2 linked regions of the Drosophila melanogaster genome follow. The protein of the gene in region 1 purifies or fractionates together with the protein of each later gene. This does not show direct contact. Each region holds a gene or a part of one and is shown in the gene's direction. Other genes may lie near its edges.

Evidence for each region.
Region 2: the proteins of l(2)10685 (region 1) and stum purify together in Drosophila melanogaster (affinity purification with mass spectrometry, with the first as the bait; one large-scale study listed by BioGRID). This does not show direct contact.

Annotation. Positions count from the first base shown.
Region 1 is NT_033779.5:1,145,529-1,150,515, forward strand, and holds l(2)10685 (lethal (2) 10685), read left to right. Parts: upstream 1-2,293; 5' UTR 2,294-2,336; coding exon 2,337-3,848; 3' UTR 3,849-3,921; downstream 3,922-4,987. Other genes in the region: MFS3 (major facilitator superfamily transporter 3), read left to right, coding at 1-944, 1,011-1,297, 1,365-1,547; Tfb4 (transcription factor B4), read right to left, coding at 3,986-4,058, 4,123-4,541, 4,603-4,798, 4,851-4,987.
Region 2 is NT_033778.4:21,672,303-21,678,369, forward strand, and holds the start of stum (stumble), read left to right. Parts: upstream 1-2,598; 5' UTR 2,599-3,000; intron 3,001-3,771; exon of another isoform or gene 3,772-4,027; 5' UTR 4,028-4,212; coding exon 4,213-5,024; intron 5,025-5,086; coding exon 5,087-5,554; intron 5,555-5,622; coding exon 5,623-6,067.

The DNA of each region.
Region 1 (4,987 bases):
GGCCATGGTGGCCATGGTGAACCACACAGCCATTAAGGCCCACGGAGACGGCGGTGGACATGGGGGACACGGCAGCGTCATCCTTTCGAACGCCTCCCAAGTGTCCCTGGTGGAGGAATGCAACCCGCCGGGTGGTGCCTCCAATGTGACGGCTAAGGTGGAGGACGGTCCCTTCGACTGGAGCGAGCCCCTGCAGGGAACCCTGCTGAGCTGCTACTTCTGGGGCTATTTGGTCTCGCAGATTCCGCTGGCACACGTCGCCGAGAACTTCTCCGCCAAGTGGGTGATGCTCTTCTCGGTGGCCATCAACGTCGTGTGCACGCTGCTAACGCCCGTCTTTACTGAATTGCATTACGGTGGCCTGATTCTGATGCGAGTGCTTGAGGGCGTCGGCGGAGGAGCCTCCTTCCCGGCCATGCACGTGATGATCGCCTCCTGGGCCCCTCCCACGGAGCGCATGGTCATGTCCACCATCATCTACGTGGGCACATCTGCGGGTACGGCTCTTTCCATCCTCCTGGCCGGCGTGTGCTCCGCCCAATGGGGCTGGGAGTCGGTCTTCTATGTCATGGGCGCACTTAGCTGCATCTGGATGTTGCTGTGGGTCATTCTGGTCCAGGACAACCCCAACAAGCAGCGTTTCATCAGTCTGGAGGAGCGCCAAATGATCACCAGCTCGCTGGGCACCGAACAGAAGACGGAGCACCACCCGGCGGTTCCATGGGGCAAGGTCTTCACCTCCGTGCCCTTCTGGGCCATTCTCATCGCCCACACCTGCAGCAACTTCGGCTGGTATATGTTCCTCATCGAGATTCCCTTCTACATGAAGCAGGTGCTCAAGTTCAACGTGGCCAGCAATGCAGCCCTCAGTGCTCTGCCCTACTTCCCCATGATCATCTTCAGCATCTGTCTGGGCAAGCTCCTCGACAGTCTGCAGGCCAAGGGTAAGTCGGACACATTATTGGACCTTTGAAGGGTGAGTGGTATAAATACCTTAATGTGCTTTCTAGGTAAGATCACCACCACCGTTGCCCGCAAGACGGCCACCTCCATTTGCACCCTGATCCCTGGAGTTTGTCTGCTGGTCCTCTGCTACATCGGATGCCGTCACTATGAGGCGGTGTCTGTCATGTCCGTGGGCATTGTGGCCATGGGCTCCATGTTCTCCGGCTTCCTGTCCAACCACATCGACATCGCACCGAACTTCGCCGGCACCCTGGTGGCTCTGACCAACACGGCGGCTACGCTACCTGGTATTGTTGTCCCCCTCTTCGTGGGCTTCGTCACCAAGGGAAATGTAAGAGAAATGCATCTGAATATTCTCGAAAATATCTTCAAATGGCTTTCTCGAATCATTCTTTTAGCAAAACATTGGCGCCTGGCGCATCATTTTCGGAGTGACCATCGTGCTGTTCGCCTTGGAATTCCTGGTATTCGTCTTCTTGGGATCGGGCAGCGAGCAGCCGTGGAACAAGGCCGGAACTCCCAAGGATCCCGAGGCCAAGGACGAAAAGACTCCGTTGAAGGAGCTGCCAACTAAGCCCTAAGCCAACAATCTCGCCCCGAATCTTCTGCCTCAATTACTCGACGAACTGCTGCTTATTCGGATAACTCTTGGATAAAGCCAGTTCAAAGTGGAATGGTCAATGCTGGACTGTAAATACCAATTACAAGTGTACAATGCCCACCCTGAATAGCGAATTCATTGAACATACGTTCGCTATTTAGGGCGTGCACTGTAGTTTTTAGATCGCTGTAAACCAATAGTTAGTAGCCGTATCCATTACGGATAAACACTTCAGCCCGCCTAATGTACTTAACACTCTTGATTTCAAAAGTTGTCTACAAATAAAGCGACGTAATAGTGGATGCACGGGGGTTCCTAAACAAATTCTGGTGGGGAAGGGAGAATGGGTCTCAGCCTCAATTTCGATGGAAATTCTGGGTGAATGACCCCATTTTCCTGTTTATATTTAGCGCTAGCAATAAGCCATTCCACAGAATCTCAGAGGATTTAGTTACAACTCTGTACGTATAAAAAAATATATAAACAGGGGATCTGTTCTATCTGTTTGGTTGAAGATATGAACAATTGCATGATGTAACTAAATGGCAAAAGATGTAAGGCTAGAGGATGATCCTAACTCAACAATGCAAAGATTGGGTTGTGAAATTGATTGTAACATCTAAGAACCAACTTTCTTTGCATCCTTATCACAATTTAAACTCCGATAACCTGCGGCGCCAAAAGACAGAGTCCGTTATCGATATTCCGGCAGAAACATATGATTTCATGTAATCAGTTTGCCTTTGCCGGTTTCAACGGATTGCGGAAAATGTTGAAAGCACGGAACGTTTGTTTGCTGTCCAGGAGGTGGAAGAGTGGCGCCAAGAAGCGATGGAATGTCCTGCAGAACAAGAAGAACAACTGTGACCGAGCGCTGGAGAACTTCGATGACTTCTACGGAAGTGTCTACGGCACCCGGTGGAAGAACATGCGGGCGGCGCTTCTCACGAGGCACAAGTATGTCGCCCTGGTCAACAATTTCGGGGACACGGAGCAGACGTGCGCCATGCTGGAGTCAGATGGAGCCATCAACATGAAGTCGCTTATTAACCTGGCGCAGGATCGGGTAAAGGACAGCACGGAGACGGTGCCGGAACAAGGCAAATCACGTCATGAAATTGAAAGCAAACTGGATGCACTGCTGCGGAAACAGCAGGAGCGCGAGGTGGCCTCCATATACCCGAGCTCGCCAGAAGATGGTTCATCGGCGCCACTGCCGCTGGAACTGAAGTTTGACAACGTAGAGGAAGATCAGCCGGAGCAAGTGAATAATCCCTTCAAGCAGAGCCTGACGAAGGCTTTGGAGGAGGATGTGAAGCTGGACGAGCATCGGTTGGTGGATCCCCAATTTGGCACAGGCGGACTGTATGAATACATGCCTGCCCACAGCATCAAGGGCATGGAGGACTGGGTGGCAGAGTCGGAGCACTACAAGTACTACCAAACCAGCGCCGACTTCCCGCTCGCCATTGAACCGGAGCCTTCCTTTCACTACCCCGAGCATCTGTCCCTGTACACATATGAAATGGGCAACTGCTCGGACTTCAAGGGACCCAAGAAGTGCATGACCGGTGTGCTCTCCCACTTTATGATGGATGGTGCCTCGACTTTGCCGCCTCTCTTCCTGCAGGTGAAGCCTGGCGAGCGTGTGCTCGATGCCTGTGCCTCTCCCGGCGGCAAATCGCTGCTTATGCTGCAGACGCTGCACTTGGACCACCTGGTCTGCAATGACATCCAAGAATCCCGCCTAAACAAGCTGCGCAAAGTGATGCAGGAGTACCTGTTCGACTACAAGGAGCGCTGGGCTGGAAAGCGCCTCATCCTCAGCCAGAGTGACGCCCGCAATCTGGACCAGTACGAGCAGTTCGACAAGATCCTGGTCGACGTGCCCTGCACCACGGATCGCCATGTGCTCAACGAGCAGGACAACAATATTTTCAAGCCGACGCGCATAAAGGAGCGCCTGCGGATACCAGAGCTCCAGGCAGGCATCCTGGCCAACTGCTTGCGTCTCCTGCGACCAGGCGGCAGTTTGGTCTACTCCACCTGCTCGCTGTCGCCCATCCAGAACGATGGTGTCGTCCACATGGCTCTGCAAAAGGTCTTCACGGAGTACGGCATCACAACTACCATCAAGGATCTGAGTCGCCACACGGCGCTCTTCAGCGATGTCTTCAAGTTCGAGCACCCAAAGGGACTCAAGTATGGACAAATGGTGGTGCCCTACCTGCCGGCCAACTTTGGACCCATGTACTTTAGTAAAATAACCAGAAATGTGTGATTAAATGAAAGTTGTTGGCTGATTAACAAGACTATATAACTGTTGCCCCAATAAATAATAAGAGTTGTAAACTAAAAAGGTACCTTTATATTTAACATACTGCTTCCTTTGGTAACCAGTATTTTCTACTGCTGGAATTACATTTGCTTGTCGGTCTTCTTTTTCTTTTTGCCCTTGATGGGCAGAGGACCGGGATTCTTGAAAATGGTGCTGGAAAGTATAGTCAGGCTCCTTAAGTTAAGTTCTAGTTAATTGAAGTTTAAATTGTACTCACTGGCAAGTGGTGCATATGGGACTGTATTTGCAGAAGACCGAGAGGCAAACCGAGCAGACGTAGCCAATGTCGATCAGCTCACGATGGCAGAAGCAGGAGGCGCGGTAGTCCACTTTGGGCGGTGGCGGCAGGACCAATTTGTGACGGATCTGCGGGGCGGGCAGGAAGACCCACAGGAGGTACTGCAGCAGGCCGTCCAGCTGGGTGACCTTGAGGAACTGTCCGGAGGTAATGTCACAGCCTTGCTGTAGCAAACTGAGGGTCTTGTCCAGGGCGCAGGTATCGATCGTGATGCCCAGTTTCTGGGCGGTGAAGAAGACGTTCATGAACGTCATGTACTGCGAGGCGCACTCGTTGCTGCCTGTGACGACCAGGATGCGGGAATGCATCTTGACGCCAGGAGCCAGATTCCTCTGGAGCTGTACGGGAGTATTTTGTTTTAGATTTGGTTTCCCAAGGCGATTCCTAGCTATTCTCTACCCTTGATATGTAGCACAGCGCCATGGACATGCTGCCGGCCAGGAGACTCTCACAAGGAGCGCTGAGCCGTGGTGCGTTCATCAGGATGCTGCCCAGCTGCTGCTTCACCGTCTTCTCCACCAGATTAAACGCCTCGTACTGCCCATCCACTTGGCGCAGTTCCACTTGTCTTCTGGGCAGCGGATACAGGAAGTTTCTGTAATGGAAGAGCCATTAGGTGGCGTACATGTGTGGCAGCCTCTACTCACGTGGCATGGTGGGAGCAGGATACCACAGCCAGTTTGTTCTGGGCCTTCTGCATCAGGTGAGCATTCCCAAAGGCAATCACCGCCTCCAGGATTTGCGTGAGGTTCTGTGGGTTCTGGCGCACGAAGTGCTGGGAGGG
Region 2 (6,067 bases), on another chromosome or scaffold:
CTAGTACCTTGTAGTTGCTTATAAAGACATTCGTTCTAAATAAGTCTTTATTGTCTAAATGCCTTAATTTCCAACGAAGTACAGCTCTCCCTTGGAGTTCCCCACTAATTCATTCATTACAATTACATTATTAGCAGCCCGGTAAAGAGGTCAGAGTATCGGGACCGTAGGATCCCAGACTGTGCCCTACAAAATGTGACCTTTATTACCGAGCTCGGCTATTTACAAGCCTATACACATCATAATAATTATGACTTAATTTCGCCAGGGAGCACCGCTTAGTCATTGTGTAATCCTCGGTCACAGCCAATTACAATTGAATGCCTTTCAATCCCATGCCCATGCCTTCGTCCAGCTGTTACTCCAGCCCTCCGCATATTCGCACACGCAATCTGCCAGCCACAATTGATATTAATTTGTGCCCGATGTGGGTCAACCCATGATGTAGACTCCATTCCCTTCCAAGGATACCAAATTATATGGCAAAAGGACAAAACTGACCAGCAGATGAGCCACATATCGCGTGGGAAAATCTTATTGCAAGCGAATAAAATTACCCAACCGCTCCCAGTGAGCAAAGGTGCAGTTTTGAATTATATGAATTTTCATCCATGGGCTTGGCACACTAGATTAGGGTCAGCACTATTCCCGAATTTTGATTAGCCAAGCCCAAAGTCGAGATTAGATTGCTGCGCTCTCTCAACCAGATCAAGTGAATCCGCCAAAGAGTTTGGGCTCGGCTAATCGAAGCCCCTTCAATTGGGGGAATCAGATCTGCATCTGCACACCTGCACTCGTGGACTCCACGCTGTCCACCTGTCTTGAGTCATGGCGCAAAAAAAAAAGAGGTTAGAAACAATAAAAACAACTTGCGGCGCGCCGCCAGTGCCAAGTTTTCATGTCCAAGGCGTATTTATGTCAACCGGAAGTAGGTTTACTGACCCACGTATACCCGTGTGGCTGGCCAAACGTGGACTTCGGCTTTCTTCGGTGGTTTCTTCACCTAAACCCGACTGGTCAGTTGCCGTGGAGCTCCACGGCGCAGGACGATGTATAAGAAGGTATTTGCCCACGGCGGATTAGTTTTTCTACGAACGGCGAGTGCAGTGCATCGGATCGATGCAAATGCGCGTTGAATTTTTTGGGTATTCAGTTTTTTATTTGAAAATCTCTCACCTTTTTTTTTATGACAATAACTCTACAAGTAACGGTGCATTAAAAATTAAAACCAAACTGCCTAAAATCGGATAGAAATCGTCGGATATATCGCAAACATTAAAAACTTCCAACTCGGTTGTGTAGTGAAAAAGCCCAAAACAATTAACTCGTAGATGTCTCTAGGAATTCCCCGACTTGTGACTCCGTGTGACTCCACTGGGGGTTCGAGTTGGACCCCACAAGGGGCGGGTTTTTGGGGGCTAACACGACATTAGCCAAGGATTTCTCCGGCACTGCCACTTAAAAGTCCCCCCGTTCCGAGGGATTCGTGGCTTTGGTTTGGGTGGTCTGTGTTTGCACACATACCTGTCTTTAGGCGTTATTGCTGCCACTGCCGTTGTTGTCTTGATGTTGCAACAGTGCCCGGCTGGCCAAGGAGTTCGTAGCTGCGGGCCAAGTGTTGTTGACTCCTAGCCGCTGCACAAGGCAACGCGGAATTTGTTGCGGTTTTGACCCTATTCCAAAGCCAAGGAAAGTGCAGTGTACTCGCCGAGGGTCTTATACTCACTCAGTCGAGTGCAGGAAAAGCGTCCTTCTGCCGAAGCCTTTTGCAATATTTATGGGCAGAGACACCTTTCACACAGTGATTAAGTGATCCTAATTTTTGGGCGACGCATAACTATTTTTTGACATTCTAGCGGATAAAATATTCAAACACTTAAAATAAGGATATATTTACTTTCAATACTAAATCAATAGGCGTATTTTAAACTGATTTTTTTGAACACAGTAAAGGAAAGTTTTTATTAATACCTATCATTACGTTCAATCAGAGCTCTTATGTGCAATCTCCAACTCCATAAAACTGCATTAAAGTGAAATGAGCGAAAGTGTTCATTGAAATACATGCGTGCATTCAATAGATACAAGTGGCATTAAAGTTATGAGGCATCCCGAAAAGTATGAAAAATTAGCTGACTGAGCTTCTCGGTGGCAGGCAGTGCGGCGTAGAAGTACAAAAGTGTTGGAACATCGCGTGCCACAGACATACCAACAGGTGTCACAGCCAGCCGGGGGAAACTGGGGGAAGCAATCAAAAGTTGTCTAAGAGGCAGAAAGAGCTGAGAAAGAAGCACACGCCGCACAGATGAACACAACGACATGCAAACGGCTAATGCAGCCGCCTCGCTAGGCGGCGAAATGCGGAAAACTCGCGGAAAAGTCGCGGCGAATTGGCGCCCCCGGTCGCCTTTTCTTTTCGGCTTTTCAGTTCGCCAGTCTCGATATCTCAGCGGGTCTGCGTGTGCAAACTGTTGGGGCACCGAGTGTGTGTGTGTGTGGGGGGGGGGGGCATTGTGTGCTGTTTTGGATTTGAAGTGTAGGCAATATTTCTCTTGAAGGCCTCCATTTTGCTCACTTACCGCTGGTCGGCCATCAGTTTAAGTTAGGCAGCGGCCACGTTTCGTCGCGTTTCCATTATTTGTTGCGGCTTTTCAGCAAATACATTCTATTTCCGAATTAGACTAAACTTAAAACCCAAATGTAAATTATATAATGCGCTCCAGGACCAAACTAACACAGTCAGTGTGGACGTGGCAGGTATTAAAATTCGTTATTCAAGTGTGACCGAGCGTTAATGAGATGCAAGAAAACTGCGTGTAATGCGGCAAGCGATTAAAAAACCAATTCGCAAATAGGAAGCTTAAGCCGCCTGGGAGCCGGCCAACTCCCCCAAAACGCGTCATGGCCAAAACAAAACGAAAGGAACGAAAAGGAGCCGGCCAAGTCACTTCCTTTTGGCCCAAAGTGTGTCACCGAAATTCGAGCGGCGGGCCATAAAATGTAGGTTAAATATTAGGCAGAGGAAAATCAATGCGAACAAAGGCCATTCATTCACACCTTTCCTCCACCTTCCCCCCCAAAACCTTCATGGGCTACGTCATTTCGCTAAAATATCTGCGTACCCAGCCGCACAGCTCCAATTAAACCATCGCCTTCTTCTGGTGATAGGATAGTCTCAGCCCGCTGGCTTCCACATCTGCCGGGTCGTTCGACTTCAAGTGCAGTCACTAATGCGGCAATTTGCAACATGCAACGCCGGTGCAGCCAGCCAAGCCGAAGCCATCCGCCCAAAAGCAAATCCCCATCCCCATTCCCCCCATTCAAGCCTTTGAGGCCTCCTCATCAAGTTATGCTCTCGTTAGCGCCAAGACAAGCGTTTGGGAGTTGGGAGTCCGACTCGGATTCGCATATAGCAGCAGGTGCATGGCATACCATAACGATTCCGATTTCAAATCGGTTTGGTTTCGGGGCGGCTTTATCAGCGCCTCGCACGCAGCTATTTATAGTTGAATGTGGAGTGAAATGGCATTAGAAAATAAAGCCGTGCAGTAATAATTACTCTACTATTTTTGCCACAACCAGTGATGGAAGCGGACGTATCCGGGCAGTTGTACCTAATTACTTTTTTTTAATTGCTGATGAATTTAAATTACTTTACTCAAGCTATTAAAAATTTAGGATATTTGAAAAAAGTTACTTGGTATGAAGACAGAAATTACTTTTATTATTATTTTTAAAAATTCGCCCAGGTAAACATACTCAATACCCTTTTCCATCACTGCGAATTGGCAATGAAACCGGCAGCCCTTCAGTTTCGCTCTCCGGTTTTTGGGACTGCCTACTCCGTGCTCCGTGCTCCTCGTTCCGTTATCCGTTCTCCGCCGGTGAAGGCGTCGCGTGTACGTCTCTCTGACATTGCAAGAGGGCCGGAAGGTCTCGCTGGTCGTCTGTCTGTGGAATCAAAAGATGTGCGCACATGGGTGTTGTGAGTGATTTTTAAATACATTCTGTTGCTTCGAATAAACAGCTCCTGGCGTCATTGGTTTTGTGGCACTTAAACTAAAGCGAAGGACGAACGCGGAGTGTCCTGCGTGGAAATCGGCTTCCAACTACTGCAACCACGACTGAATTTCGCAAAAACGCTGCAACAATGGATAGGAAATCATAGTGAATGCATGAGGGCCGAAGATCGGTTAGCACCCATGTCAAGCCATGCAGCAGACCCTCTCGTACTCATCATCATCGCCATCCCCATCCCCGATGCCCATGCCATCAGCCTCAGCCGCACAGACGCCGCCACCGAACCCGAATCTGACACCGAATCTGAACATACGTCCAAGTACGAACCCAATACCACGACCCAGATCCACTGGAGGCGAGTCCGCGTTCCAGCCGGCCATCATCCCGGTTGATTATAGCTATCGCACCCATACCACCCGCTCCATTCTCTCCGCCCAATCGATGGCACCCTCCACGTTCGCCTCCAATCAGAGCTTTGTGCGCCAGCCCTCGGAGTCGGATGCCCAGCCGTATAGTAGCCTCTTTGGGGATCCGGTTCCACCGCCTCTGCAGCCGGATGATTACTTCGGAACAGCAGCATTTGAGACGTTGCGAAATGGGTCTGTGGAACTGCCCAGCTCCGAGGAGGATGCGCTGGTGGCCGCCATGGCGCTGAACGCACTTATTCCTGCGGCCAGGGAACGCATCTTTCCGAGTGTCCCGTACTCGAGGACTCCCCGAGGATCCCTACTGCCTTATCTCCAGCCACCCGACATCCAGATTCTGCCCAACTCGAGCGGTGGCTCCAGTTCAGAGCAACTGGGCTCACCTAACTATCGGCTCCTGGCCCCCGATGACATTCTGAACAAGCCGGACGTTTATGATTTGGAGAACGAGGTCGAGGAGTACACCGTAGTCGGTCAGAGAATGTCTTTCGATGATGAGGAAGATGAGCCGACGAGGACTCCTAGCCAAGCGCCCGCCAAGTTGAGTGTGTCCAGCATCACGACGGAGGACCACAGGGGGTTGGTATTTGAATACACCAATATATTATCCAAACTAATCCTTCGTGATTACCTCCTCTTAGATTACTCAGTGACTCCTATTCGGGAAGGGATTGGTTCCGTCCGGCGCCACAGCACTTTCCAGAGTTCACACGCATCCCACGATTGCGGCCCAGCTCCAAAATGATTATGTCGATGAAGCAGGATGAAGGACCTCTCTCCCCACTGGCCACCATGATCCAGGACATGAACAGCTCGAGCAGCGGCGGAGAGGAGCGAGTGGCACCCAACCAAAGCAGGCCCGTTAGCAGGGACGTTGTACTCTCACCGAAGCAATATCTGGAGGAACAGTTGGGTCTGGAGAGAGGTAGCCAGAGGCAGTCGCTGGAGGACTATAGAATGCCACCTCCACCGGCAGACCCGCCCCCTTTCCGTAGAACTGACTTGACGGAGCAGGATGACAGCCGCAGTGTGGAGCCTGAACATAGCTTAAAGCGGGAAATGTCCCCAGTTATCATCAGGGATTCAATACCTATGGGCGGAGATTATAGGTAAGGTTATCCTGTGGAAAATATCCATAAAGATAATACATATATTCAAGTTTTTCTGTCCCCTCTAGAGTGGAGCAACCTCGTCCACACAAAAAGACTGCTTTCACGATACTTTCCACGGGACAGGCAGCTTCTTCTGCTCCTCGGCCTCCACAACAAGCTCCCACCAGAGGAAGACACGCCTCCATTCAGTCGACATCGACGACTACCTCATCGCCGGCCGGCAGGCCTCAGATCAGTCCTCGACGGAGATCGATCTTTGGCTCAGAGCCGCGACTGCCTGAGCTGCCCTCCGCGCTGGGTTACACCAGTCACCTCGTCCACCAGACCACGGATGACTCGCCACGCCCATCGGTTCAGTTCAATATGAGTGGACGCCACAGTCGCAGCAAGCTGGCCATTCCGCAGAAGGGCATTCTCCAGCAGCGGGACTCGCTGACCTCCTCCATCGACACCTTCACGCCAAGAGCCCAAATAAGAAGGGGTTCCATTGGCAGGGATCCCATCCGCAGC